7 linked regions of the Mus musculus genome follow. The protein of the gene in region 3 interacts with the protein of the main gene of each other region in a pairwise test. Links are inferred from orthologs where the notes say so. Each region holds a gene or a part of one and is shown on either strand. Other genes may lie near its edges. The genes, in order: Comp, Tns2, Otx1, Chic2, Adamtsl4, Rgs17 and Rgs20.

The links.
Region 1: the proteins of Otx1 (region 3) and Comp interact in binary tests that used the Homo sapiens proteins (3 or more experiments, as listed by UniProt). The two-hybrid records come from large-scale screens. The link is inferred for Mus musculus from reciprocal best matches to the Homo sapiens genes OTX1 and COMP.
Region 2: the proteins of Otx1 (region 3) and Tns2 interact in binary tests that used the Homo sapiens proteins (3 or more experiments, as listed by UniProt). The two-hybrid records come from large-scale screens. The link is inferred for Mus musculus from reciprocal best matches to the Homo sapiens genes OTX1 and TNS2.
Region 4: the proteins of Otx1 (region 3) and Chic2 interact in binary tests that used the Homo sapiens proteins (3 or more experiments, as listed by UniProt). The two-hybrid records come from large-scale screens. The link is inferred for Mus musculus from reciprocal best matches to the Homo sapiens genes OTX1 and CHIC2.
Region 5: the proteins of Otx1 (region 3) and Adamtsl4 interact in binary tests that used the Homo sapiens proteins (3 or more experiments, as listed by UniProt). The two-hybrid records come from large-scale screens. The link is inferred for Mus musculus from reciprocal best matches to the Homo sapiens genes OTX1 and ADAMTSL4.
Region 6: the proteins of Otx1 (region 3) and Rgs17 interact in binary tests that used the Homo sapiens proteins (3 or more experiments, as listed by UniProt). The two-hybrid records come from large-scale screens. The link is inferred for Mus musculus from reciprocal best matches to the Homo sapiens genes OTX1 and RGS17.
Region 7: the proteins of Otx1 (region 3) and Rgs20 interact in binary tests that used the Homo sapiens proteins (3 or more experiments, as listed by UniProt). The two-hybrid records come from large-scale screens. The link is inferred for Mus musculus from reciprocal best matches to the Homo sapiens genes OTX1 and RGS20.

Annotation. Positions count from the first base shown.
Region 1 is NC_000074.6:70,379,383-70,382,710, reverse strand, and holds the end of Comp (cartilage oligomeric matrix protein precursor), read right to left. Parts: intron 3,318-3,328; coding exon 3,139-3,317; intron 3,031-3,138; coding exon 2,982-3,030; intron 2,607-2,981; coding exon 2,410-2,606; intron 1,467-2,409; coding exon 1,294-1,466; intron 1,040-1,293; coding exon 900-1,039; intron 826-899; coding exon 779-825; 3' UTR 645-778; downstream 1-644. UniProt on the Homo sapiens protein: Plays a role in the structural integrity of cartilage via its interaction with other extracellular matrix proteins such as the collagens and fibronectin.
Region 2 is NC_000081.6:102,101,682-102,105,927, forward strand, and holds the start of Tns2 (tensin-2), read left to right. Parts: upstream 1-1,252; 5' UTR 1,253-1,405; coding exon 1,406-1,480; intron 1,481-2,848; coding exon 2,849-2,957; intron 2,958-3,657; coding exon 3,658-3,695; intron 3,696-4,246. UniProt on the Homo sapiens protein: Tyrosine-protein phosphatase which regulates cell motility, proliferation and muscle-response to insulin. Phosphatase activity is mediated by binding to phosphatidylinositol-3,4,5-triphosphate (PtdIns(3,4,5)P3) via the SH2 domain.
Region 3 is NC_000077.6:21,996,152-21,998,663, reverse strand, and holds part of Otx1 (homeobox protein OTX1), read left to right. Parts: intron 1-75; exon of another isoform or gene 76-142; coding exon 143-294; intron 295-1,605; coding exon 1,606-2,424; 3' UTR 2,425-2,512. UniProt on the Homo sapiens protein: Probably plays a role in the development of the brain and the sense organs. Can bind to the BCD target sequence (BTS): 5'-TCTAATCCC-3'.
Region 4 is NC_000071.6:75,041,817-75,046,374, reverse strand, and holds the start of Chic2 (cysteine-rich hydrophobic domain-containing protein 2), read left to right. Parts: upstream 1-1,733; 5' UTR 1,734-2,076; coding exon 2,077-2,195; intron 2,196-4,558.
Region 5 is NC_000069.6:95,684,875-95,689,469, forward strand, and holds the start of Adamtsl4 (ADAMTS-like protein 4 precursor), read right to left. Parts: upstream 3,044-4,595; 5' UTR 2,947-3,043; intron 798-2,946; exon of another isoform or gene 680-797; 5' UTR 602-679; coding exon 582-601; intron 143-581; coding exon 85-142; intron 1-84. UniProt on the Homo sapiens protein: Positive regulation of apoptosis. May facilitate FBN1 microfibril biogenesis.
Region 6 is NC_000076.6:5,919,490-5,923,749, reverse strand, and holds the start of Rgs17 (regulator of G-protein signaling 17), read left to right. Parts: upstream 1-1,349; 5' UTR 1,350-1,522; exon of another isoform or gene 1,523-1,915; intron 1,916-4,260. UniProt on the Homo sapiens protein: Regulates G protein-coupled receptor signaling cascades, including signaling via muscarinic acetylcholine receptor CHRM2 and dopamine receptor DRD2.
Region 7 is NC_000067.6:5,016,582-5,020,873, reverse strand, and holds the start of Rgs20 (regulator of G-protein signaling 20), read left to right. Parts: upstream 1-1,334; 5' UTR 1,335-1,494; coding exon 1,495-1,563; intron 1,564-2,139; exon of another isoform or gene 2,140-2,298; intron 2,299-4,292. UniProt on the Homo sapiens protein: Inhibits signal transduction by increasing the GTPase activity of G protein alpha subunits thereby driving them into their inactive GDP-bound form.

The sequences.
Region 1 (3,328 bases), on a different chromosome or scaffold from region 3:
TTCTGGTCACAGGGGGACATGAGGACAGGGCTGTGGCCATAACTCCAGAGGCCAGGCTCCTGTTTCTCAGGCCCCATCTCACCCCTTAGTTGGAAAAAGGACGCCATGGGCTGGGGTGCCCCTTTGATATATGCAAATGGCTGGTTCCACATTCCCCTCCCCGTGCCCAGGCTGGCTCTGCCCCCGGCATGCGCACTCCGCTGCGGATGTCTGTGGATCGTGCGCATGGGCACCGCAGTTGGGGGTCAGGTTGCTCAGGGCACGCACGGCCGCCCGCCCCACCTTCTGGCGCAGACGCTTCTTTGTATTTTTGCGCCCTTTGTAATGAAATGTAATAAAAACCCAATGTTTTCGTCTGGGCCTCTTCCTCTTTTTCCAATCTCCCTCCAGGTTACCTCATCTTCCTGTGGCTGAGCCCCACATAGGTGTGAGCCCCTTGAACACCTTCCACTGAGCCATTCAGTGACTGGGGTTCCTCAAACTTGGAGGCAGCCATCTGCTCTTACCTTAGAATATTCCAGGGCTGTCACCACCTGTAGTGAATTGCATGCCCCTGACAGTCTCAGTGACTAGAGTACAGACCCTAGGGCCTCCTGGAGGCCCCTCCACAAAGTGCCCCTTTAGCAGCGACCAAAGCCAGCCAGTCCCCCACATACGTACTTTATTTGCCTCTCCTCCCCAGGCCAGACACCCCTTCAGAGGGATGCCAGACCCCCCCACACACACACCCGTAGCTTGTGCCACCACAGTCCATCAGGCAGCGGGACCCCACTGGTCCCTAGACTCTCTGCAGCCGGTGACTCTCGTAGTCCTCAGGGATTGTATCTGCAGATTGGAAGGCAACAGGTGAGAGAGGTTTCTGGAGCCTTTTGGGTCCAGCCTGCTGGCCCCTCGCTCACCATTGCAACGGTAGCGCAGGTTAGCCCAGATGATGTTCTCTTGGGAGAAGCAGAAGACACCCAGGCGGCCACCACGCATGGCCGTGTCCAACACCACATTGCTGTCAGCTACTAGCTCAGGACCCTCATAGAACCGCACCCTGTGATAAAGGACTATTGAGGTTGGGTTCCCTGCTTGCCACCCCCTTCATCTTTAGTTCCCACTCAAAATAAGGGCTGGTGTTGGGGCCCCTGCCTCAGTTTCCCTCTGTGAGAATGTATGTCAGGTGCCCTGTACATAGGAGGTATTGGGGTTCTGGCATCTCCCCGTAAGACCATGATGTACTGTAAACGGAGCCCGTTTCTCCTGGAGCAGCAGCAAAGCACAGCTCAGCAGCAGCAGGGCCGTGCCCACCTGATGTAGCCAACTTGAGGCCGGTGCTGCAGGAACCAGCGGTAGGATGTTTTATCCTTCCAGCCCACGTTTCGAGGATCCTTCCACAGCAGCCGCACCTGGGATGCTGTGTCCCCCGTGTGCCACAGTGCGTTTCGGAGCTGTTCCCCGGGACCTGTAGAGGACTTGACAGCCTGCCACAGGCAGGAGAGGAAACAGATCAGAGCCCTGTCTGGTAGATCAGGTGGGAGTTATGAGTGGTTGGAGTATAGGGAAGGTCCTTGCTTCAAGAGGGCAAGTGAGAGCTCTTGGCTGGACCACTGTGGGTAGTGGAGCCAGGAGTCTGTGTGAATTCTGGAAATACAAATACAGGGATACCTTAGGGGATCTAGAGGGCCTGGCTCCTTATTAGGAGGCAGCAGCCTGCTGGGATAAACTGGGGTCTACAGACCTGGGGACCTGTTGTGAGGTGTTTATAGGAGGATCTGGGGTGTCCAGGGAAATCTAGGGCTCTGTGACAGGCTTGGGAGCCCAAAGGGACATGTGATGATCCCAAGGAGTAGTTCCCCCCCCCTTTTTTTTTCTTTTCTTTTCTTTTCTTTTTTCTTTTCTTTTTTTTTTTTTTTTTTTTGAGACAGGGTCTATCTTCAATTTTTTTCTCTCTGAGTATGCACGTTTCTGAACCTGTGTGGGTGCATGCACATGTGCACGAAGGGCAGAAGCTGTCGGAGTCATCCTTAAGTAGCTTTTCTATCCTGTTCCATAAGGCCTGGGGTTTCCCAGTGTGGCTAGTATATCTAGGGATCCTGTTTCTACCTTTCAAGGCTGGAATTACAGGTGGATCACCATCCATACCCAGCATTTAGGTGGGTTCAGGGGGGTCCAAACTCCAGTTCCCTTGAGTGTGCCCCAAGCACTGTAACAAGGCAGTGTCTTCTCTGACCCTCCAGAGAAGGTATTTATGGGTCTGAGAGGATTTAACCCCGTGGCAATGGTGGTGGGAGGGTGGGGGCTGGGCACGAGAATGAGGAGTGGTGACAACTTTGAGGGGCATGGGACAATGCTGGAGGGCTACGAAGGCATTGGCGGTGAAGGCTGAGGAGTATATAATGTGTGTGGGCACAGCCCAGCCAGCACCTTGAGCTGAATCCCTGGCTCAGCCACAGCCCGGAAGGGATTGGCCTGCCAGTACGTCTGCTCCATCTGTTTCCACATGACTACGTAGAAACTGGAGCTGTCTTGGTAGCCGAAGATGAAACCAGCATAGTCATCATCAGTGGCGGTGTTTACATGGAATGTGCCCTCGAAGTCCACGCCGTTGAAGGCTGTGTAACCTGTAGGAGGGGAGAGGAAGGGGGTCTCCAGAAGCATGCTTGCTCTGGACACCTCAGAGTCAGGCCCTGACCCTCCAAACAAGACCTGCTTCTCCAAACAAGGCCACACCCCAACATAGCATTGGCCACATCCTCAGACACTTCCAATCCCTAGCTCTCAGGGGTCACACGTCCCACAGCAATGCCCCAAAGGCCCCACCCAGCCCTTCCTAGATCCTGACCAACCAGCCCCGTCTCTCCATGGCCTATGACCCACCCACCTATGACCACTCAATACAAACTGCCATTTGTCCTAACCCCCTTAGCCCTACTCTTCCCATGATTAGAGTGGCCAAGCCCTCCGTGATCACGCCCCATAGCCCTGCCCCGCCTCACCCACAGCCAGGCCAGGGTCACTGTTCATGGTCTGAACGATCTCCATTCCCTGGTGAGGTCAGAAGAACAAGGGGCTCAGGCCAGCGCCGAGTGGTGGAGGTCTTGCTGAGGCGGCACCTGGGCCCCCCCTAGACCGCTACCCCAGCCCTAGCCACACCTGATTGAGCACCACCCAGTTGGGATCGATCTGCGCATCACCCTCGGGGTCCAACACAACCGTCTGGAAGGCCCTGAAGTCGGTGAGGGTGACCTCGGCGTTCTCGGGGCACACATCGATCTTGTCTATAACCTTGTCAGCATCGAAGTCACCCTGACACGCGTCACCCACGCCATCCCCTGAAAGAAGG
Region 2 (4,246 bases), on a different chromosome or scaffold from region 3:
CCTCTCCAGTTACAGCACGGTGCCCCACCCCTTGCCACTCACAGGGCCTTCTAGCCAGGGTACACTGGCAACGATGGGCTTCCTAGAGAACAGGCATGCAGCGGGAAGAGGCCTCAGACTCTTCAGTCTGACAGGTCTTCTGAAGGATCCCTGGGGAGGACTAGAGCAGCCCTTCATCTGTCAGATGGGCGTGAGGCAGAAAGAGGAGAGTCCTGTGGGACCCTGCAAGAGGTGCCAGAACTGGAGGAGTTGCACTGGGACATTCAGTAAATACCATGCAAATGAGGGTGACACGGTGTACATTCTTTCAAATGACAGCTAGCTACAGCATTCCAAAGGCTGCTGTCTAGAGCTTGGGCTGGGAACCCCCAGGCTGTTGACCCTTGTTGTAGGAAGGTTGTTCCATCCTTTCCAAGGGCCCCATACACCTCCTTCCCTTGACTCCTGGGACAGGAAGTTGGCCCTATTCCCAGGAGGGAAGCAGGAGGCCCTAGAGAGGGTGGAGTATGTGTTGGGAGGGGGCCTCCTGTCCAGTCCTCGGGTCCAGTGACAGCCACAGAGGAAGGAGAGACAGGCCAGAAGAGCCATGAAGGTAGCGCTCAGATTCTGGTGGGCGGGTGGGGTCCCCAGTAGAACCTCAGGTGCAGGATCTGGGAGCTAAGCCAGGAACTGTGGGTTGTATCTGGAGAGGAGCAGCTGGGGTGTTCAGGAGGAACCTCCAGTGCTTTGGGTTACAGCAAGATGGACCATTCCTGTAAGCCCTTAGCCCTTCCCGCTGGAACTTGGCGTTGAGGAGGGTACTATAAGATCCTTCTCCCGTCTGACAGGGAAGTTAGCCCTCATCCCTAACTTTCTTTCACCCTGAGGATGTGGAGTGCTGGGCTGTCAGGGGTACTGGTTCCCAGCAACACTCCCTTCCCACAGGAAATCCCAAGGGAGCATGAGGGTTCAGGCTAGAGACTGGCCGGGGACACAGTGTTCTCCACTGGCCCTTGAGCCCTGCCCTGAGACCTGAATTCCCACCCTGTGCCACTGGCTGATTCCAGGGCTGGATCTCAGGACTGCAGACCCCCTGCACACAGTGGCCCACTGGGTGGGAGGCAGCTCCAGAGATGGGGAGAGCCAGAGATCTTAGGCTGACACTCCCAGCAGGGTAGATCCTGGGAATCTGATCTCCTGGCCTCCCCCACATCCTCCCCCACCCCACTTCCTGGAGCAGCGACCTGCCCCCTTCCCGCCTGCACTTCCCTCCACTTCCAGGGCCAGGCTTCTCCACACACCAGCCAGACAGCCTCCCCTCCACCCAAGGGAAGCGGCTGCCTCGGCAGGCTGCTTCCAGGAAGCCCCAGGCCAGGCCCCAGCATTGTTCAGGCCCTGCAGCCAAGAGTCCAGCCAGCCAGACACCATGAAGTCCAGCGGCCCTGTGGAAAGGTTGCTCAGAGCCCTGGGGAGGAGGGACAGCAGCCGGGCCACCAGCAGGGTAGGAGTGCCCACCAGCTGGGCAAAGGTGGGGCAGGGTGGAGGTGCGGACAAGGCGGGAGGGCCAGGATTCAGGCCAGACCAGACCCTCTTCCTAGTTTCAGCCTCTTCTCCTGGCTGGCTCAGCATCCCCCTCCTCTTTCTTTCGCCTGACCCCCTGAGGTGGCTAGGGTAGGGTAGCAGTGTGATTCTAGCATCTGTTTTGACTTCTCTGTGTATTTCCTGGCTTGAGCCTGGATAGGCCCCGAGGGTTCAGCTAAGAGCTCAAGCCCTGACCTCCGGGGGAAGCTTGAGGGAAAAGGTATGGGAAGAAGGCAATGAGGGAAGGGAGGGTGCCTTCTACTGACGTCATCTGCACACGACGTCATCATCCACAAGTGCGTCCAAGTGTCCTGGTGGGTCTCGCCCCCAGTCGTTAAGGGACCAACGCTGCTCCCATGTTATTCTCCTCTTCACACTACGGTGGGCAGATCCAGGGAGAGGAGGGGACAGCGGGAGCTTGAACACACAGCGGTGAAGAATGTGCAGTGGAGTGGTGGGAGGAGTGAGGGAGATTGTCCACAGACTCTAGATAGGAGGGATGAACTGGGGTGGGAGGGGTCAGAACTGCAGTGAAAACTTGCAGTGAGTAGGGACTAAGGGGGACCTGGACAACTGGTGGCAGCCCAGCCAGCCACTGACCTCACTACCTCTGGGTGGGGAGGGGGCATCCGGAGAACCTGGCCACCCCTGTCATAACATGCAGAGGCAGCGAGGCAGCTGCCTGTGTGTCCCCACTGCTATTCCTCCTTCCGAGCGAACGTCTTAGACAATTGCTGCCTGCCGCCTCAGTGCACAGAGAGTAAACATGTTGTTCTGACCGTGGGGGAGGGGGTCATATTAGCTGCCTGGAGCTTGGGGACACTGAGAGCCAGGGGCTCAGAACTGGCTGCAGTCAGTCTGGGTATTATGTGATAGTGCTTGTGTGTCCTGGCCGTCAGCTCACAGTATACAAGCCTCTTGTGGGGAGGGCAAGATGGGAGGAGAGTCAGACCCCCCACTCTGCCAAGATTCAGAAAGCCCTCACATTGGAAGTGGGGGTGTGTGTGACAAGGACATCACATAGCTCCGCCACGTGAGAAGTCCTGAGTGAACCCTTAGGGAGGAGTTGACCCAGCCAAGGTGACGCAAGGGGTCACATTCCAAGCCCTGTAGAGGACAGGCCTCATGACTACCCTGAAACAGCTGTGGCCAAGTGTGCCTTAGAGTTCACAGACTTTTGGCTGGAAGAGAGGGAAGCAGCATCGCTCTAAGGAAAGGTCCCTGCCCAGCCTTGGAGATGAGCCCACTAGGAACACATACCCCTATTTGTCTGTCATCCCACCCGCAGCCGAGGAAAGCAGAACCACACAGCTTCCGGGAGAAGGTTTTCCGGAAGAAAACTCCAGTGTGTGCAGTGTGTAAGGTGACCATCGATGGGACCGGTGTCTCCTGCCGAGGTGAGGTGGTGCTCTTGGTGCCTGAGCCCTCCAGGCAGCACTTCTGTGTGGCTCAGGCTCTAGAGACAGGCAAATTCAGAAACAAATGCCCTCACTCTTCTTGACACCCACCTTGCCACAGCCCAGGAGATTTGTGACTCTACCACCTTCCCATCCTTACCTGTGACTAGGGTCTTCCCTTCCTCTTGCTCCTCCTCCTCTTCTTCTTCCTCCTCCTCTTTTTCTTCTTCCTCCTCTTCTTTTTCCTCCTTTTTCCTTTTCCTCCTCCTTTTCCTCTTCTTCCTCTTCCTCTTCCTTCTCTTTTTCCTCTTCTTCCTCCTCTTTTTCCTCTTCTTCCTCCTCCTCTTTTTCCTCTTCTGCCTCCTCCTCTTTTTCCTCTTCCTCCCCTTTCTCTTCCTCCTCATCTTCCTGTTCCTCTTCTTCTTCCTCATCCTTTTCTTCTTCCTCCTCTTCTTCCTCCTACTGTTCTTCCTCCTCTTCCTCTTTCCCCTCCTCACCTCTATTCATCCTAGACCCCAACCCCCGGCCCTCTTCCCTTACTCCAGAGCAGAACCTGTTGATAACCAGCTCTGTTCTTCAACTCCTAGTAACCTAGTGTACCAGGGTCCCAGAGCTGGCTTCTAAGGCCTGTGGGGCTGGAGCACAGTTATTTTGACTATTCCCGTAAGCCTCTGCTAACCTCTACCCTTTCTCTCTCTAGTCTGCAAGGTGGCCACACACAGAAAATGTGAAGCAAAGGTGAGTATGTGGTTCTATCTAATGGGGAGATGGTGTCTTTCCCTGTCCAGACAGGCATCTTCAGCCTCACTGGCATGGGCCACCATGTCACCCTGTCCCCTGTCACTCACTCCTGGACACCCCTTCCTGGGTGGCAGGGGTGTTGTGTTGGGCTCTTTAAGAAACACCCTACTCCACCCCTGGAGGGTTGGCCCAGGAGGGTGGACAGTGAGACAGCGTTTGTCTTGGTGCTGTGCCCAGGCTGCAGCTGGCGAGAGGATGAGGGGGGGTGGCTGCGGGGGGAGGAAGGGCGGGGTGGATAGAGAGGGAGCAAGATTTCAGAGACCAGGCACCCTGATGGGAGGTGCCTTCCCTCTGAGGAAAGGGTCCTCAGGATGCCTGCGTTGGTCTCATCCTGGGTAGTGAAAGCTGAGCCTGTTCAGGTATAATACCCTGTAGCTGGTACCCGCTGTCCACTGAGAACCTAAGGTAGCCCTGCATCTCTGAGGAACGTTCCTGGTGCTCCATCAGTGCAGGGGGTAGTCCCAGGGCCTCAAGCTAGCTTGGGGGAG
Region 3 (2,512 bases):
AGGGGAGTTTTCGTTTGCTCGGAGCTCGGCCCTTTCTTTCTATGGCGGGGGTTCTGAACCTACCAGAAGACTTACTTGTGGCCTCTAGCACCAGTCCTTGTGGTCCACCGCTGACTCCAGGCGCTCTCGCATGTCCCCTCAGCCACCCCGCGGAAGCAGCGACGGGAGCGCACCACCTTCACGCGCTCACAGCTGGACGTGCTCGAGGCGCTGTTCGCAAAGACTCGCTACCCAGACATCTTCATGCGCGAGGAGGTGGCACTCAAGATCAACCTGCCAGAGTCCAGAGTCCAGGTGCGCGCTCCTGGGGCTCTAGGGGTAGGGTAGGGACGCAGGAACCGGTCTGGAAAGATCTGGCCTAGGCTGTCTGATGTTGGGGCCCTCTCACTGACTGCACAGCCCCTCTCCAACTCCCCCTAGCGCTGGGCGTAAGTCTGATAAAAGGGGTAACATTAAAAGGAATGGCTTAGAGCCCAGTATCTATTCCTTATCGCCTGGGCGCTTTCAATATTGAAAGTCGTTTTGTTTTTGGTTTGGGGGAGGCCAGCCATGTTCCCCGGATGTAACTTTCTCTGAAAGTTCGATAAGGGTCTGCTTCTTTGGCTACTACAGAACTGAGGCCTTAGCTCTGAGGCCTTTCTTTCACACCCTTGCCATTCGTCCCGGGGATTCTAAAAGTGCAAGATGGAACTTGGCCACAGCCTAGTGCTCTCTGCCTGGGAATGCGTTCCGCCGGCAGTTTCTGTCTGGTTAGGGAGTTTTCTGCAGCCGAATGGACGTCGAGTGCAAAATCCAGATGCTTGCTTTTCTATTTCTGAGATGAAACGTTCAGAAAAATCGAGTTCTGACTTAGTTTAATTCTTTCTTTACGGTCTTTCGTTTAAACTTCTTTCCCGAAGGCTCGAGAAGGGTCTGGGAATGCAATGCACTGTGCCCGGACTTTCTCCTAGGAATGCGAGTTTATGACTTGCCATTCCATTTGGTATCCCACCTGGAGCCAAAAGGCCCAAGGAAATCTCACCTTTTCCTTCTCGAAAAGCCCCAATACTGGAGTGCTGTTTCCGTCCAGCCTCTAGCTTTGCTTCTGTTCCCACCCAAATATTCGCCCTGACCAACTCCAGTCTCCAGGAGCCGACTCGGTGAAACCCCTCGGGCCCCAGGCTTGGTGGCTGACCTACACTTCGATGTTCTGTATCTCTCTGCTGTTTCCTGAGCTCTGTTCAAGGAAAACAGGGCCTCCAAAGTAAAACGGGGCTGCGGGGAAGCAGCCAACCGCAACAGCTTAGAGATGGCTGAACTTCTGGCTGGACAGACACAAATGTTCCGCCCTCGGGCAGAGTTGCGCTGGGCTTGGGGAGGTGCGCATCCCTCCAGCAGAGGAGGCTTACTAGGGGTTTGCGCAGAAGGATGGGGGAGGGAGCCAGAGCTGGGGACCTAGCACGTGCGGGGGAGGGGACAGGGTCTGGCAGGGCCGGGGACTGGGAGGGGTAGAGGCTGGGATTGAGAGCTTCCCGAGATCCTGGGCGGGGTATGAGTCCGAGGGGCGGAGGAGTAGCTCCACTAGCCAGCCCCCTGATCCCCTCTCCTTCACCCTGCTCACTGTAGGTTTGGTTCAAGAACCGCCGCGCCAAGTGCCGCCAGCAGCAGCAGAGCGGGAATGGAACGAAAACCCGGCCGGTCAAGAAGAAGTCGTCTCCAGTACGCGAGAGCTCGGGTTCAGAGAGCAGCGGCCAGTTCACGCCGCCCGCCGTATCTAGCTCTGCTTCTTCGTCTAGCTCAGCGTCCAGTGCCTCCGCCAACCCCGCGGCTGCTGCGGCCGCGGGCCTGGGTGGGAACCCAGTGGCAGCAGCGTCCTCTCTGAGCACGCCTACTGCTTCGTCCATCTGGAGCCCGGCCTCCATCTCGCCGGGCTCAGCGCCGACATCCGTATCGGTGCCAGAGCCACTGGCCGCTCCGAGCAACGCCTCGTGCATGCAGCGCTCGGTAGCCGCAGGTGCGGCCACTGCCGCAGCCTCCTACCCTATGTCCTATGGCCAGGGCGGAAGCTATGGTCAGGGATACCCCGCGCCCTCCTCTTCTTACTTTGGCGGTGTAGACTGCAGCTCCTACCTAGCGCCCATGCACTCTCATCACCACCCGCACCAGCTTAGCCCCATGGCACCCTCCTCCATGGCTGGCCATCATCACCATCACCCTCATGCGCACCACCCACTGAGCCAATCTTCAGGCCACCACCACCACCATCACCACCACCACCACCACCAAGGTTATGGAGGCTCTGGGCTCGCCTTCAATTCTGCCGATTGCTTGGATTACAAGGAGCCCGCCGCCGCCGCTGCTTCCTCTGCCTGGAAACTCAATTTCAACTCTCCCGACTGTCTGGACTATAAGGACCAAGCCTCGTGGCGGTTCCAGGTCTTGTGAGCCCAGGAGGGAAAGGAAGTGGAGAAGAAACGCAACTACCTATACCCTCCATGGTCCCCATCCTGTTGCTGCTGCTGCACCACCCGCC
Region 4 (4,558 bases), on a different chromosome or scaffold from region 3:
ACTCTGTCAAGTAGCCCAAGGGATAGGTACTATTATATCTATTTTATTTTAGAGACAAGGCTCTATTATAGCTCAAACTGGCTATATAGAGTGATGTTCAATGCCTAATTTTCCTGTCTCCATCTCCCACCTGCTAGGGTTTTATAGATGTGTGCTACCACGCCGCACTTTTGTCTTCCTGTGACAGGTCAAAGACCAAGAGGTTAAAGGACTTGGCCAGGGTCCCATAGGAAATGATAGAGGGCGATTCAAAGTCAGCCTTCAGAACTACCAAGTTAAGCTGCCTCCTGTGTGTATGCTCCATTGGAGCCTTTGACATACCCTCTGACTCCCACCCCCCTAGAGAATTATGGTTGCTTGCCTTAATGACAGAAAAGTTACTGCCAGAGACTGTAACATACATAGTCGCGCGTGCACGCGCACAGACACACACACACACACACACACACACACACACACACACACAGCTGACCACACAGTAGGTTCAGTGTTTATTGAATGAATAAATCTGGGAAAGCATAAGTCTGACGCATCGACTATTTTTCCCTGCCTAGCTCACTGCCCTTTTTTTTTTCCCCAGATCTTTCCAGGATTAAGTTGTCCAGCATTTTCCACTCTCATGTTAACCTTTGTACGTTTTCTGCTTGGACAAAGACCCGTAAACGAACTTGAAGGATGCGAACACTGCGTAGAGAACTGTTTGTGGACACTGGGTCCAGTACAACTCCTCTTTCCTTTCCAGACCAATGAGGAACTCTTGTTACCCCATGGTCCAGTTTGCCGTAGGAGTCCAGTTCTGTTCCTATGTTGTTTGGATGCTTGGCAGACTCTTGATTGTGAAACCAGGTCCAAGGTGATCCATGAGTCCACTGTTCCTCCCTTCCCCCATCCCCTCTTGTGGAGAAAACATTTTTCACTAGAGAGACGAAGCATACAACTGCAACTTCTTAATTGGAACACAGAGAACTTGTCAACTTTGTTAGGTAGTATTGATGGTGAGATTTCTTGTTAACAAACAAACAAACAAACAAACAACCTGGGCTAAAAGGACAGAATATTTGGCTTTGGAGATATTTTGGAAAATCAGGTAGGACAGTAGACAGGAAAGCACTGTTTGCCGGGCAGTGGTGGTGCACGCCTTTAATCCCAACACTTGGGAGGCAGAGGCAGGGGGATTTCTGAATTCGAGGCCAGCCTGGTCTACAGAATGAGTTCCAGGACAGCCAGGGCTACACAGAGAAACCCTGTCTCGAAAAACCAAACCAAACCAAACCAAACCAAACCAAACCAAACCAAACCAAACCAAACCAAACCAAACCAAACCAAACCAAACCAAACCAAACCAAACAACAACAACAAAAAAAAAGAGAATGCACTGCTTTGTTAATCTCAAGTTGGCAAAGTCAACCAACTCTGCTTCGCATCGTGGACTAAAAACGTTTTATTAAACCGGCAGTCAGATTCTCTGGTCCGGCCAGGGGCTTCGCCCGCTGTCGTTGTTTGGGCTACAGATTACTCCAGCCTGGCTCTAGGAGTCGAGTCGGGGTCAGCGCCCCCGATCCTCACAGACGCCGCCTTCCGGGTCGCTGACCCTGGAGCCGGAGGGCGGGGCCGCGCCGGGTGGAAGCGGAGGAAGAGGCCGGCGTCCCGGGAGCGCGCGAGACCGTCCGCGTGAACGCGCCCGCCCGCCCACCCGCGCGCCCGCGCCCACGCCCGCGCCCGCCCGCGCTCCCGGGAAGTCTCGCGATGCGGTAGCCGGCTGCTCCTGCTGCGGGTGGCTCGGGCTGTTGCTGTGGTTGCCGGAGTTGCGGCGGCGACGGCGGCGGCGCTGGCGCGGGCGGCGGCGCTGGCGGGGGTGGCGGCCCCGGCGGATGTTGACATTGTGTTGTTGTTCCTGCCCACGGTAATGGCGGCGGTGGCGGCGGCAACGGCGGCGGCCGGGACCAGGTCTCCTCAGTAGCCGGAGCCCACACTGCCGAGCGCCAGCTCCGCGGCCTCCGCGCCCGCCGCCTCACCAGCCGTTCCCCGCGGCCGCCCCAGAGCCAGGGCCCCGGGCGGGGGGCTCGCCGGCTCGGGATGGCGGATTTCGATGAAATCTACGAGGAGGAGGAGGACGAGGAGCGGGCCCTGGAGGAGCAGCTGCTCAAGTACTCGCCCGACCCGGTGGTGGTCCGCGGCTCCGGTCACGTCACCGTGTAAGGCCCTGCGAGGGCTAGGACGAGGACGGGTGGCGAGGCGCGGGCGGGGTGGGCCCTGGGACCCCTGGGGGTCCTCCTTTTCTTAAACCCCCGTCCCCGGTGACTGGCGCGGGACGGGGGCCTTGGGGGAAGCTCCGGCGATCAGGAAGTGAGAACTTGCTCTGCTTCCATTTGTTTAGGACTCCCAAGTGGGGACAGACACTGCCTCCCCTCCCTCCCACAGCCCCGGAGCAGGCCCCGTGGCCCGCGGGGATGTGTGGGGTCCCAGCCGGGAAGATGGCTCTTTAGGGTCTGCCTGATGGGCCATCGGTACAGGCTAGAGGTGCACACACTCACACACACACACACACACACACACACACATCTTGTGGGATCCATCTTTGTAACACCCCCCACACCCCCGTTATTCTTTGGGACTCTGCCTGACTTACAGCCTATTGACATATGGCTCAGAGGTCAGATCTGAGGTGTTAAGATCCCAGTGGCAGTTGGTAAATGAGATTCACTGTCGTGTGTCTATCACACATAACACGTAGGGGCTTCCCAGTTCCTCAAGAGTAAATTTCTGCAAAACTGATTCGAGTTGCTGTCAATTATGTATGATAGAAGTATACAGGTGGACGGAAAAAAAGAGGAGGATACATCTGTTTACAAGGAATTACAAGTACCGAGTTTCCTGTAATCCGGTCTGTTTTGGGACACGGACCTAGGTTGGCTTCTTTGATAAGGGCCCCTGTAAGGTTTATTAGCAACATCAAAAGTCCCAATATTATTCAAACAATAAGGGATGAAAGCATTCTGAAAGGTCGTGACTAATAAAGGAATGTAGACTTGGGGCAAATAATGAGTTGTCCGGAAGAAGGAAGTTTTGTAACATTTCCCTGATAAAATCCGGAGTTTGTACAACTTAGGGTATTGATACTCCTTTGCAGCTGCTATCTCCAGTTGAAAAGTCATCGCTCAAACTTCCTGTACTTGCATATCACTTTATCACTGATAGAAAAAGGCAGCGAGCCTGAAGCTGTCTGGAGCGCTTGTCATTGTTTTTTGGTGTAGGGTGAGTGGGGCGTGCTGTGGGCAAGGCGGTCAAACAGTGAGGCTCCTCAGAAGATCGGCCCTTGTGTAGTCATCCTGACTAGCCTTGTTGTTGTTGTTGGGGTGTGCTTATGTAACACCTTGGTGTCTTCGCACCTGTTAACGTGTGCATTTAGGTGATTTAACAGGGTAAAAACACTGCATAAGCATTGTTTCAGTACCTGGATAAGGAGATGGGACTTCGCACCATAATAACTGCTCTGTTTTAACTGTCAACACAAACTTAATTAAGGAATATAGCTAATTATGAATAATACAGTTTAAATGTATATCATAATGCTTTTAGTGTTATAACCTGCTATTTAATTTTTAGTTTAACTCTTAGGACTTTTTTCTTTTTCTTTTGAACTTAAGGACTATGGGTGCTTTTAAAAGCAATTACAAACAAACAAAAAACCGACACAGTGATAGTCCCAGTACTCAGGAGGCAGAGGCAGGTGGATCTGTGAGTTGCAGACTCCCCTGGTCTTCAGGGCTACATAAAGGATTTCTGAACTTTTTCATGTTGTCTGTGGTCATCCTTAAACTCCTCCTGTCAAATCAAAGCTGGCAGAAATTTATTTGCAGAGGTTCAGCTAGGGCTGGAGATGTAGCTCAGTGTTAGAGTGCTTGTCCTGGGTTCAGAGTAACCAAATAAGGTTCAAGTGCAGTTGTCATGTCTCTTCTGTTCAAGAAGAAGAAAAGCTAAACATGTTGTTGGGAAATAGAATAGTCAAAGTGCTCAGATAGAAAGTTGGATTGTAGTTGACTATTTGGAGTGGTTAACAAGTGTGTGAAGTAATTATTAGTGGTCTTTTCATCTTGTCTTTCAGAATCACCTGGCTTGTGCTCAGGAACTACTAGCCTTTATTATTATAAGCATTAGAAATAAAGTACTTCCATTTGCAGGACTAACAGTCATTTAGTCTAGTTTATCTGCCCATTAAGATCATGTGGGGAGCATCCGCTGGTGTTCCAGCCCTCTTTTTCCAGGCCAGTGGCCACATATGAGTGGAGCTCTTGTTCATGAATAGGCTTGGATGGGGTTGGAGGAAGGTCTTGGAGGTGGTTTTGATTGTACCTCGGAATCTGCTGCAGACACTAGTGATGGTGGTGTTTGCCACCTTTGCAGGAAGCCTTAGTATGTTTGTGACCTCCCTTAGACACTTCTGATAGGTAGTAACCTTCCTCTGCCACTTTTATATAAATCAATCACTTGTGTCTCCTCAGTTCACAGGATGACAGCTTTAGTTCATACCTTTCCAGATTAAGGGGTGAGATAATGT
Region 5 (4,595 bases), on a different chromosome or scaffold from region 3:
TGTGAAGCCACCCTACAGGGGAGGCCAGGGCACAGTGGAGGGACCCTGGGCAGGGTAGCAGTGGCTCACTTGTCCCGGGCTCACCTCCTGATCCTGGCAGGGCTGAGGGAGAGGCAGGAGCAGCATCATACACAGCCAGAGCCTGCACACCGAGGGGTGGGGGACATCAGAGGGAGCCAGAGGTGTTACGACATTGCCTGCCCCCACCCAGCTTCTCAGGAAGCAGACGTCCCTTGTCACTTGCCAGACCCCTTCCAACAGTTCACAGTCCCTTCCTGTGTGCGTGTGTGTCCCCCCCCCCCCCTCTCTCTCTCTCGTGTGTCGTGTGTGTGTGTGTGTGTGTGTGTGTGTGTGTGTGTGTGTTTGTGTGTGTGTGTGTGTGTGTTGAGACAGGGTTTCTCTGTGTAACAGTTCTGAGTTCTGAATGTCCTGGAACTCACTCTGTAGGCCAGGTTGCCCTCAAACTCACAGGCATCCACCTGCCTCTGCTTGAGTTACAGGTGTGCACCGCTACCCTCTGCCCCTTCCCTGCCCTAATGGAGACAGAGCTGGTCCTTTCCACTGCTACCCCTCTTTCTTACCTGCCCAGCCAAGATTCCATTGCTCTTCCTGTGACTGCCCCTGGGCTGGGGAGCAGGGGACAGGGTGGCTACTCTGGCATCGGGGCTTGGAGGGTGCTCTGAGGAGGGAGGAGCATGGCGTTACCCCTCCAGCTATCTGGGGGGACTGAAGGGCTGTCTCAGCACAACACCAACAGCCTGGAGGGGTGGGGGAGGAATGGTCCACCCCTTTAGGACCTAAGGGTGGGAGCAAGAAGGGACGTTGTCTTTGTCATCTGCTAGAGGGTGGGGGGTCTGACCTCAGCCTCTTAGTTCAGTTTAGTCTCCTCCCTATGGCCCAAGATGGACTTAGCTCCTTTGGAGGCTGATGTGGGTGGGGGTAGGGGTTGTGCATAGGCAGCTTGGGCCAGAGCTTCTTTCTCCTAGAGCTCTAGGGCCTAGAGGAGGCAGGCTATGCCAGTCACCCATGAGGGGCCAGCCAGAGGCCTCCGGGCACCAGGGGTGGGGTCACAAGCCTTAATTCCACAGTTGGGATGGAGTTCAAGGGGTTCAGCTTGGGTGATATGGGACCTCTATCACAAAACAAACAAACAAACAACAAAAAAAGGAAAACCAACCTCCTCCCGCTCACAGAACCCAAGAGCATTTGTTTCTTTTCCTTTTAACTAAGCTCCTTACGGAGGACAAGGCTCATACAGGCTGCCCCGGGCATTTTTTTTTGTCCAAGGGATAAACTAAGTGGGTTAATGGCTTCATCTCCTGAGAAGAGGCAGTGACTTATCCTCCCCATGAGTGCCAGCATCCACAAGGCACTGGCTCAGGGTGACTTAGCTCATGTACAACTAGTTTTCTGCTTTTTTTTTTTTCCTTACAATGCTCAGCCAAACTGGGACACCTAAGAAGGAGAGATGTAGCCATAGCAGCCCATGCTTGCCAGGTTCTCCCTCCCGTATCCCTGGAAAGTCCACCCTTAAGTCTAGCTGTAAACACTGGGTAGCAGGGGTCTTCATACCTGTCCTCAAATCTTGTCTCTCCCTACCCCCATCCTCCATTCCCTGCCTTCTCTTTGAGGCCCCGCCTACCCACATCCTCATCCCATCTAAGTTCTGCTTTCCAGGAAAAACACTGTTTCTGCTGCCTTTGAATGGCACCATGAGAAGAATCCAAGGATCGCTGGCCAAAGTAGGCCAGATCAGGGCATGCAAAGGACAGAGAGGGGGGCAAAGCTAGGTCCTGCTCCCCCTCCCTGGGACCCCAGGGCTTGGGAATTTGAGGAGGAGACCAAATGGGCTGAGCTGAGTTCTTGGAGCTAGGGAGGAGGTAAAAGGCACCACGTCCTTCTTCAGTTGAGCCAGCCACTGAATCTACGACTTCCCTGATGGACGAGTGGCCCTGTTCAACCCACTCATCAGCCCTCTGCCTGCCCAGTGAGGCTGGAAGGATGGGGGGTGTGTGTGATGGACACAACCTGTCTGATGCTGGTCCCCTCTCCACCTCCCTCTGCGCCTCTCTGCTCCTCCAGTCTGTCCCTGATGCCTCTCCGTGGTCTACCCAGTACACATAATCCTGTCCTGAGCTGGTTTTGGCAGCTCTCTGGAGAAGTGAGGGGTGGGGGGTGACGAGAACTCCTGGGGCTAGGGCCAGGCCTGGCTCCCTCTCTGGAAAAGTCCACCCCACCCTCCCCTGCATAGGGGAGCAGGAGCCGACACCCCCCCCCCCCCCCGCACAAATGTATGTTTGTCCTTTCTCCACGCCCAGGGTGAGGAAAATGAGGTTGGAAGTGGGCATCCTGAAGTCACGGTGGACCCTGGCTGAGCACAAACCTATGCTGCTCCTGGTCACACCCCCTTGTGGGCCAGTGACACCAAGGAAAGTGACTTGCAGGGTGCTAACCCCTTCACCCCAGGCTCACTTCAGGCAAATGAGCCAATGCAGAGTGGACGGGTGGAGGGAGGGTTAGTAAGGGCTGGGCTAGCAGAGGAGAGATGCTGTCCTGTCAGAATGCCAGGGTTTTCACGGCATCCCCCCCCCCCCAAACATCCCAACAGGTGTCTTTTCCCTCAACCTCTCACAACAGATTGAGTTGTGCAAAGAGCACTCACCCGCATCCCTCCCGGACACCCTATCCCTGCGTTCCCAGAGTACAGGCGTCTGGTCGCATCTTCCCGAAGCCCCTCAGGGAAGAGCCGGCTGTGCCGGCGTGCAGGGAGGTCCTGGGTATGTTTTCCAACTTCACTATGTGACTTAATAGGAATCTTGGCACAAGCCCTCGCCCGGGTGATGGGACTCGGAGTCCCAGGGACCAGACCCCCTCCCCAGGAATTCGCCTTAGGGTCCGCTGTTCTGAGACAGTCAGAGCCCAGGCGGGGGGTCGGGGAGGTTCTACCTTCTCTGCGCCCGCTCTCTCCAGCTGCCTCTGGTAGTGGCCACCGCGGCCCGGAGCCCCAGGACAGCGCCGCCCGCGGCAGGCTCCGCCCCACGCCACCCGTGCCCCGCCCGCCACGCGCCGGACTCAACCACCCACCCCGGGTGCCCCGTACAGCTAAAGAGCTTGCAGCCACGCTGTGGACACGGTTCCCGCGCCCGCCCCGGGGCTCGAGACCCCACCAACTCTGGCAGGCTCCTTTTGGTTGGAGCCTGTCCTCGAAGAACCTGGGCTAGCCCCGAACCAGCAAGGGGATTTGCAAACTAGACCCATGTAGCCCTGAGCAAACTCAGATCTGCTCAAGCCAAGGCCCTCTCCTCCATGCAGCCAATGCCATCGCCTCCGCTTTTCCCATACTGGGCAGTGAACCATGTGGCTCTGATGGCCAGGGACCTCTCTGAGCCTCGGTTTCTTCATCCATAAAATTTTACACCCTGGAGCTTAGCGGGAGGAATGCACGCTGAATTATGAGTCAGACAATTTGGATTTGAATTTCAGCTTGAGCACTTGCCAGCTCTGTGGTCTTTCATGAGCACTTCAACTTCAATGCGGCAGTGTCCTCTGTAGAATGGGAGAATTTGATGTGTATATTAGGCTTGGAAATGTTTATCCATCTCCATGTGGAAGAATGACTGAGGAGGGGTGGGGAAGGGATGAAAACAGCTTTCAGTTTTTATGCTTTTTATTCTATTCATATGTCTTTTAATGGATTGTTGGTTTGTTGTTTGTCTTTGAGGCAGGGTCTCGGTAGCCCTGTCTGGCTTGAACTGTGTAGACCAGGCCAGCCTTCAACTCATGGAGATCCACCTGCTATTGCTTACTGCAGTGTTGGGATTAAAGGCCTGCCTATGCCTTGCCTGTCCAACCTCGTAACTTCTTTGAAAAACAAAAACGTATAGGTTGTTCGATACTAGACTGGTCTTCAGGGTGAATTCCAGCTGAGGCTGGGCGGGGGGTGGGGGTGGGGGAGAATATATAGGGAATGGTAGTGCATGTTTAGCACTTGGGAGGCTGAGGCAAGAGAGGGGAACCACTGGTTCAAGACCAGCCTGGGAAATCCAGCAAGTTCTAGGGCAAGCTGGGCTACAGAGTGAGACCACCCTAGTTTCAACAATGAAATACCAGAGCAAGGTTAGAGAGATGGCTCAGCCATTGAAGGCCAGGCTCACCACCAATGTCAAGACACTCAAATACAGAAGTTGTAGCAACATATTGTCTTGCAACCCATAAAACAACAGAGGGCCCTGGTGCCCCCGGCTAATGTTTCCTAGTTTCTTGGCTATATGTTACACTTTGTGCTGAGGGCACAGAAGCTAGTTTAAGTCCTTAAGTCTCCAAGTCTAGTTTGAACAGATCCTGCCAGTGAGAAATGATCACTTTGGAGCTGACATGTTAACTGTGGAAGCAGGGTCTATCCCAAGGCAGTGGGTGTGTATATAAAACAGCCCTATGTCTGGGGGTGTAATAATGCGCTGAAGCAGAGCTTTGCATGCAGGATGCTCTGGGTTCTGTCCCCAGCCGTTCCCAGCACTGATCAAGGCAGAAAGATATTATTTGTTATTTAGACAAGGTCCTGCCACGGTAGGGCCGATTGACAGGAAACTTGCTAT
Region 6 (4,260 bases), on a different chromosome or scaffold from region 3:
ACCCAGGTGCCATGGTGCTGGTAAATCGCTAGAAATTTTTCCAAATTTCACACTCTGCTTCTGTATTTATTTCTCATTACAGACCAATAGTTTGTAGACAGGCTCCAAGAAAGTGCACTTTCAGGGTATTAGTATCCAAAGCAGTAGATGTAGCTGAATAAAAAAGACCCTGAGTTATATTAATTGAAAGTTGTGGGGCTTTCTCAGGTGGGCTGGAATGCCAACAGTATTTGCACACTGGAGGACCCCTGGCAGGGGAGTGTCATGACATCTACAAACAATCAGTTCTAATTAGCTGTCAGGGAAGAGCCTAGTCGTTCCCGCGGGAACTCTCTCATCTCCACAGATGTGAAATCTAAAGAGAAAGATATCTGCTTTCCTCGCTCCCCCTCAGAAACACTTCAGCCTAACCACAGGAGGCACAATCTAGTACTTGGCATGCAATAAGCATCTAGGCTCCTTCACCACCAAGCTGCGCTCTGCTGGTGAGCAGAAAGATTGACAATTCCTGTGACTGCCAAGTGGTCCAATAAGGACGCTTTAGGCCCCAGGTTTCCAAACCGGGCTAAGAGTTCTTCTTTTTTTTTTAATTAGATATTTCCTTTATTAACATTTCAAATGCTATCCCGAAAGGTCCCTATACCCTCCCCCCCGACCCCCGCCCTGCTCCCCTACCCACTCACTCCCACTTCTTGGCCCTGGCGTTCCCCTGTAGTACTGGGGCATATAAAGTTTGCAAGACCAAGGGCAGGCTAAGAGTTCTTGACCCCTGCTCTGCCTTAGGTTTCTCTCGCTGAAAACCCCAGCTCCAGTGGCCCAGAGGGTACACATATCTAAGACCAGAGAGCGCCTGGAGGGATTCCTGGGTATTTCTGGGTAAGCCATCAATAACGCAGAGTCTAGAACTTACTTAACTTTACCTTCTCTTGAATCCCCCAGGCAAGAGGGTTGAAGCAAGCCCGAGGCTAAGGGAGCCTGAGTGCCTGAGAGGCTTGCAAGCATGGTCCCAGGGACTAGGTGAACATACATGGGCTTTGGGTAAAAGTGAACTGGGGGGTGGGGGAGGAGGTTCCTTCCCACAAAGTGTGTTCTCTCCAAGAAGCACCCCTGACCCCGACCCTCAACGCAGAACCTCCCCCACTGCTGTCGCCAGAGCCGCCTGGGCACAGAGACACTGACACTGTGAGCTCTGTCGCCGGGCGGGCACGCCGGGAAGGGACGCGACAGTGACTCACGCATCCGAGCGCCCGCGGGAGGGGAGGACGCCTCACCTCCGGCTGCGCGGGGCGAGGGGCTGCGCCTGTCTCCCGGACGCATGCGCTGCAAGCTGCTCCGCTCCCTCCCCGCCCACCCCAGCCTCCTCCCTCTCTGCTCTATCCTGGCCTCTCTCCCTCTCTCCGTCGCCGGGTGCTGAAGTTGGGCGGATGGCACGGAGCCTGCTCCGCTAGAGGACGGAGCAGCCCACTCTCGAGCACCCTCGGACCCGGACCCCGGAGCTCTCGCCCACATCTAAGTCTACCCGGTAAGACGCGACCTCTGAATCCCGGAGAGGATAAAAAAAAATAAAAATAATAACATGAAAATGTCTGCTTTGCACTGATGGGTGGGCTTGATTTTTTTTTTCTCTTCTTTTGCTCCCCCACCCCCACGGCGAGGGGGAGGTAGGATAGAGAGGGCGGAGGGGGCGCCCGCTGCCTGTGCCCTGGCTGATAAAGCAGTGGGGCGCGCGGGTCTCGGCGGGCAGCACCGCCCCGCGGCTCCGTGAAGTTGAATCCCGCGTGGTCCGCTTCAGGGCCCGGTCCACTCGCGTCCCCGGGCTCTGTGGAGGGACTGAACCGCTCTCCTGCGGGTCACGGCTTCGGGTGTCCCTGCTTCTGCGGGGAGAAATCTCAGCACCTTCGGGGACCTGGAGGAGGTGAGAGGGTGCTGCGGTGGCGGGTGGGGGAGCGCTCAGGGGTTCGGGGTCCCCAGGCTTTTCATAGCTGTTTGGTTAGTAGAGAATCGATGGTGAAAATAAATCGAGATGGTCTCAGCCGCGGACTGCCTCGATGGTCTCATTTCTCCCTTTATTTTTTGGTGCCTTTAGGGAAAATAAAGATTCAGGTGCAGGTGATGTCTTTACAAATACCTTGAGCAGCTGCTGTGTGTGTGCGCGCGCGCGCGTACGTGTGTGTGTGTGTGTGTGTGTGTGTGTGTGTGTGTGTGTGTGTGTGTGTGTGGTGCAGAGGTGAGAGTCTCTTTTGTTTCTCCCCCACCCCCTTTAGTCCAGAGAAAGCGAGTTCTTGTGTACTCTGCACCTGGTCTGTTTTACAGCAACCAAGGGGGTGAGGACCAGGAACGCCTACCAGCCCCCAGGCGCTGCCCCGCTTGGGTGCATTACAGACTCCCTTGCTGTGAGATCTGGCTCTCCTGATTATGGACGGATCACAGCTTCTAGCTGTCTCCTCGCTAGCCTGCCTCCTTCTCTCTTTTCTCTGGCTGCCGCAGAGGCTGGGTGCAGACACACTTTCCTGTTGTTTCCTCTTCATCCTACCTCTGTGTCTTAATGGAAAATGTCGGAGGACCTGAGGATGGCGGAAGGACAGAGCAGTGAGCAGTGGGTGGGGACCTGCTCCCGGCCAGCAGGAGACTGCTTGCTGTGCGTCTCAGGCAGTCCTTGCAGCTCACTCAGAAAACAGACTGAGCAGGGGTCACCTGGTCTAAAGGATGCTAGCGCAAGACCACCCTGTGTTCTCTTCCTCCACTGAGAGATGAGAATGCTCGCTCACTTGGGAGATCCTGGTCACCCAGGAACCCTGCCCCTGGCTCTGGGCATAGAGTTTCCAACACGCCCCACTCCCTACAGACCCTTCAGTAAATTCATCTTTCTAAGTCTTGTCTGAAGAACTTTGCAAGCTTTTAGCTGTCTCTTTCTGTCTTTTAGGGGGGAGGAGGGTGTTACAGCTGGATTCTGTCCATCATGGGTTGGCTATCACAGATAAAAAGAAACCTCAGTTGATAAACACTTCTGAGACTGGATTCTATCTGCATTTCCGGCACTCAGACACACTGGTTTTCAGGGTGTTGAACCTTTCTGCAAACCATTTAATTGACAAAATGAGAAATAAATTTTACTCCTACAGTGAAGACGATGTTTCTCTCATAGGTTCAGAGCTGCTAGATGCTGTATGTATTAAAGAATTTGCAAACTGCAAAGCTCTTCAGTTCCTCGTATGCATGTCTGAAGTCTGTCGTAGTAACAGCAGGTGTATACAACGCGTGCACTCTAACCGGGATAACTAACCAAAGGGTAATTCAGACTCACCAAGACACACAACTGGGAGGTTTGATCTTCTCTTAAGTTACTATTATGAAGCCATTTCTTCTGTTAGCATGAACTAAACCAGGAATTAGCCCATCCCTGACGACATAAATTTATTTAATTTTAAGGTCTGTATTTAAGGCCCGCAGATCAGGTTCATTGGGGGTTTTGGAGCTAAGAAAACAAGTGTTCATTATTACAGGAAAAGATCGGGAGTCACTTTGTTAAGCGAGATGCCTCTCCTTAGTGATAACTGAGCCCAGATCCCAGCAGCCTTCTTAACTCTGCGAAATTGTCTCTGGAAGATAAAGAAATGCACTCACTTTAAAACCAGCAGTGCAAAGTGTTCATTTTGCCCATTTCTACTATTTTCTTGTTGTGGTGCCTCAACTTCTCCTTGGGCTAGTCCCTACTTTGGGGTCTGTGCTCATTTCTACAGCAAATAAATGGCCTTCCCTTCTTGTATTTGGAGGACCATCCTATCAGGATTTAGTTCATTTAAGCTCATAATGTTAATGTTCTAAATCCACCTTCATTCCCAAGGACTTCTTATACTTTTTCATAATAAATCTCATTAGAATTTCGTACCCCAGAGCTAGACACTTTGAAAACAAAACAAAACAAAACAAAGCAAAAATCGGCTCTTATTTATTTAGCCTTATTATACAGCTGAATAAAAATGGATGATCTCCATCCTAGTTGGTGAGCATTCCGCTGCCACACCCAGGGAAGAGAGTCAGGAAGAACCGAGGTGTGAATGCTCTGCTGGGAAGGTAGTGGGTCCCACATTCCAAGTCCATTTGCTGAACTGCATGGTCCTCCCTGGAAAAGTGGTCACCAGCAGAGAAGGGCGGAGCTAAGAGGGATAGGAATCCATTTCTGCAGGAGATTCTTCCGATACCCTAGTTCTGTCTATAGATCAATGAAGATACTTCATTCTTCAGGAGAAGGAATGAGAG
Region 7 (4,292 bases), on a different chromosome or scaffold from region 3:
CCGCCTCCTGTTCCTACTTGTGGCCTCAATGGCACTGCCAGGACGACGTCCGAGGGGTCGTCTACTGAAGCTGGCAAGTCCGAATTCGGAGCCCAGAGGAGAGGACGCCTGTACTGAAAAGAGTTCACCCGAGTCCGTGAGTACTGGGAACTCCACTAAACCCACCCTCGGCTTCTGGAGGCCCCAGCCTTTCCCACTCGCTCTAATCCTGATTGACCCAGCCCACCCGGGCTGGCCTGGATACTGAAAGATTGGCACAGCGCTGGGCACACTGGAGGAAAGGGCACCTGAGGCTCCCGGACACTCCCACCTCCACCGAGGCATTAGAGCTACTTTCTCCCAAGCGATCTGTTCTGTTTCTACCATCCTAGGAAGCAAGAGGAAGCCCTCTGACGCCTCCGAAGATCTTTTCCAACTGTAGTTGCAGCTTCCCCTCGAGCCTCCCCAAGCATCCCCGCACTTTGTAACCGCTCGCAGCCGCGTTCATGCCCCCACTCCTCTTCCCAGGAAGAGGGAGGAAATGACGTGATGTTATTTTTGTGTCAGGTCACTTTGCTGCTTGAGTTTAGCCCTCCGAGCTCAGGCGCACTGCCCCAGGGGTTCACTTCAAGGGTTACTTCGCTAGCTGCGGCGACCCGGGCGAGGGGCATCCTCAGAGGTAGGCGCCAGGTTCTGCAAATGCCCGGGGCTTCCCCTCCCACCGCCTGAGTCGCAAAAGAAAGGGAGACTGCCGAGGGACTGAGAGAGACCGGAGTCCCGGCTTAGGCTTTCTTACATACACTCCACCCTGCCATCCCAATCGCCAGGTGGGGCCATCCGACTCTGGCTGGCTGGCCGGAACTGAGTAGGACCACTGTTTAGAGTGGGAGAACAGATCTCTTAGAAAGGCTATACAAAGAGAGTTGGGGGCGGATGTTAGTGGCGCTGAGGTCAAAGGGTTCAGTGGGGATTGTCCAGCAGGGGCGGGCAGTTCACAGGCGCGAGACCCGGGGTACAAAGCACCAGCTCCTCTCGCGACCTTTCCCCGTACCCCCAAGCATCTCTTCATTCACAAGGCCCCAGTACTCATTCACAAACTCTGGATCGCCCCCACCCCACGGCGTCCCCCGCAAGCTAAGGCCAGGGGATAAAGAGAAAGGGCCTTACAGGCACCCTCAAAGCTCGCTCCCGCCGCACCCATTATTTCGTTGCGATTATAAGAGAGGAGCCAGGACCGGGGCTCCGCTCGCCCGATTTGGGACTAGGGAGTACCCCCAGCCTCCGAGTGCTGCGTGCTGCCGCCAGAAGGAGGCGAGCCAGGGGATTGCCCTGCCCCAGGAAAGCGAGCGAGCGCCGGGGCGGAGAGGAGTCAGAGAAGGGAAAGGAGGAGGAAGAGAGAAGAGCTCCGGAGCTTAGACCCAGAAACGCAGGAAAGGGCGGGTGGCAGAGAGCCAGCGCGGGCGGAGTAGGAACCGCTCTGACTAGTGTAAGAAAACTAAGGCACACTCTGGACGCATGCGCACGGCCAACGGAGGCCCGAGGGCCAGAGCTTCCCCTTCGGCTAGCCCAGCGGACCCTGGCCTGGTAAGTACCTGGCGTCCTCCTCGTCTTCCTCTCTGACTCCCTGCCCCCCCCCCCCCCCGAAGCCCTGGACCTGGCAGTAGAAGGAGCTCGAGGAACCTGGGACGCCAGTCTCTCCTTGCCCGGTGGTGCAATCCCTGGCTGGTCATCGCCCTTAGGGTTAGTCAGTTGAGGCGAGTGGGTTGTGAGTTCGGAACATCTCATTGTCTGAGGGAAGGCTCCGAACCATTGTGATCGGTTATTATCAGACCCACCAAGCAGGTGGTCCGGACTCTGAGACTCAGCGAGGGACGAAAAATGCCATTAAGGTCTAAAGTGCACATCAGACATGCCAAGCATTTGGGAGAGCCCAAGCGAGTGGAAGAGTCTCGGCTCTCTCTCAGTTGGGGGAAGGATGCGCCTCGGTCTGAGGACCCGGGGCGGGCAATTTGAGCGCAGGTTGAGGAGGTGACACTCCCGGAACGCACTACCTCCCTTTCAGAGAAGCGCATCACAGGCCGGCTGGCGGAGCTGAGCTTCAAGTAGGCGCTCAGACCGCGCCCGGAGCGCTGCGGGCAGCAACACCAGACAACTGAGTAGACCGAACAGTCACTTAAGGGAGAGAGGGTGGGGATTGTCCTTATCGGGCCTGGGAGCTAGATTTCCCACACTCGGGGGGCTCGGGAGGTTGGAACCCGAGGACGTGCCGAGGCTGCAGCGACTGAAGGTTCGGGTAGGAAGCAGAGAGGCTGCGCGGAGGTGAGCGATGGGGAGTCGGGTCTTTGTATGATGGTGCCCTCAGACTTGGGGAAACTGGGCTGGCAAGGAGCCTAAAGGGAGACAGCTCCCTGGGACAAGGGTGTGCTCTTTCGGAGATCTGTGGCTAACCCCACCTACTGCTTCAGGGGAGTGGGTAAGGGAGAGGCCTCGGAAGCGGCACACGCGGGGGTGGGGTGGGTGTTTGGGGAGACGTTTCAATGCGCTGAAGGATTTCCACACTTAGGGAGTGGGCGACCGAAGGTGGGCGTTGGGGAGGGTACAGGCGCTGCGACCGCGCAGGTCTGAAGGTGTGAAGGTGGAGCGCGGGAGAGGTGGGCTCTCTGGGGCTGGGCTGGGTCAGGATCTTCCTCGAGTCCATAAGCAGCAAGCAAAACCTGGGCAAGAAGAGCTAGCTAGCCACACTCACACAACTGCTGATGGACGTGGGGCTAAAGCGGGCAAGGGGGTTCTGGCCATAGCAACTGCTGCCTCTGCGCCCTCAGGTGGAGAACAGAGCCACAGCGTGAAGAAAGTGGTGGTGCAGGAGGGTTTCTGTCCTGAGAGTGCTGGAAAGGAAATCCTCTCCAGAGACTGTGTTCTAGGCCACCCTCTTGTGGGTTTCCAAGACTTCACAGCCAGATAGCTGGCTGAATGGCCTTGGCGCCCACTCGCCACTGCAGGTTAATACAGCACAATTTCTGGGCTCGTGCTATGTAAAAACTAGTCAAATCGTTGAACAGACAGACGGCTCATGGGTTAAACGAATGTACTCTCAACAACCTGTAGCCTTAGTTCTAGGGGATCCAGTCTCCTCTTCTTGCTTCAGCAGGCACTTGGCATACTTGTAGTGTTCCCACATATATGCAGGCACTCATGCATAGATATAAAATTTGTAAATAAAAAATCTGTTCCTACTGTTATTATATTGATGCAACATGGGCCTAGTGGAGTTCAAAATCTAAAGACATTATGAACATATAAGTATGGATGCATCACTAGCCCCAGCTCTCCCAAGGCTAGGGAAGGAAAATATAGAACTTGAGATCAAGTGAGCTACATATTGTCATTCTTTCTCAAAAAAAAAAAAGGAATATAAAGATCAATAGCATGATGCCTGTTTTCATATGCTATAAACAATATGTTTACACACTAAAAAGGGTTTTGGTATCAAAAGCATGAAGCAGTAAATGTTTTCTCTCAATTCCTAAATTTAAATACAATTCATTTCTCTATCCCTGGACCCTTTGTGGATAAATAAGAGATATTTGCATATAAGCATCTAACATAATTTGAAGAGAACTTTTCTCTTTAAAAAGAGTTGGATTTGGTGAGATGTTACAACAGGTAAAGCACTTAGTGTGCAAGCCTGAGGACCTAAATTTAAATCCAGGCACCCAAAAGCACATGTAAATGTGGAAGGAAAGAACTGACTGCACAAACCTGTCCTCTGACCTCCTTGTGAACCATGTCTTCACCACCCCTCCAATACACCACACACAAAAACAACCAAGCAAACAAACAAGATCCCAATAGTAATGATTAAGTGCTTTAAAGAGTTGGGTTTATGGGGGCTAGATATATATTTCAGTTGATAGAGCACTTGTCTAAATGCACAAAGCCCCAGGTTCCAGCCCCAGCGCTGTGTAAACTTCTGTTGTGTCCATGAAGGTAATCCCAACACACAAGAGGATCGGAAGCTCAAGCCATTCTCCCTCACATAGCAAATTCAGAGCCAGGCTAGGCTACATGAGACCTTGTCTCAGACAATCAGGAAAAGAGTTCCTTTTGTTGACCAAATATACATTTAAAGAATTACACATTAAATCATGGCATTTATAAAATAGCCAATATAAATACTGAAGTGAGGTATTTGATCTTTTATTTAAGAAACATTTTGAAGAATACTAAACAATTCACCCCAAAAGCTATCTATCATATAAAATATAGGATGATTATGATTACTTCTTCGACCTTCTTCATTTTACAAATGAGGA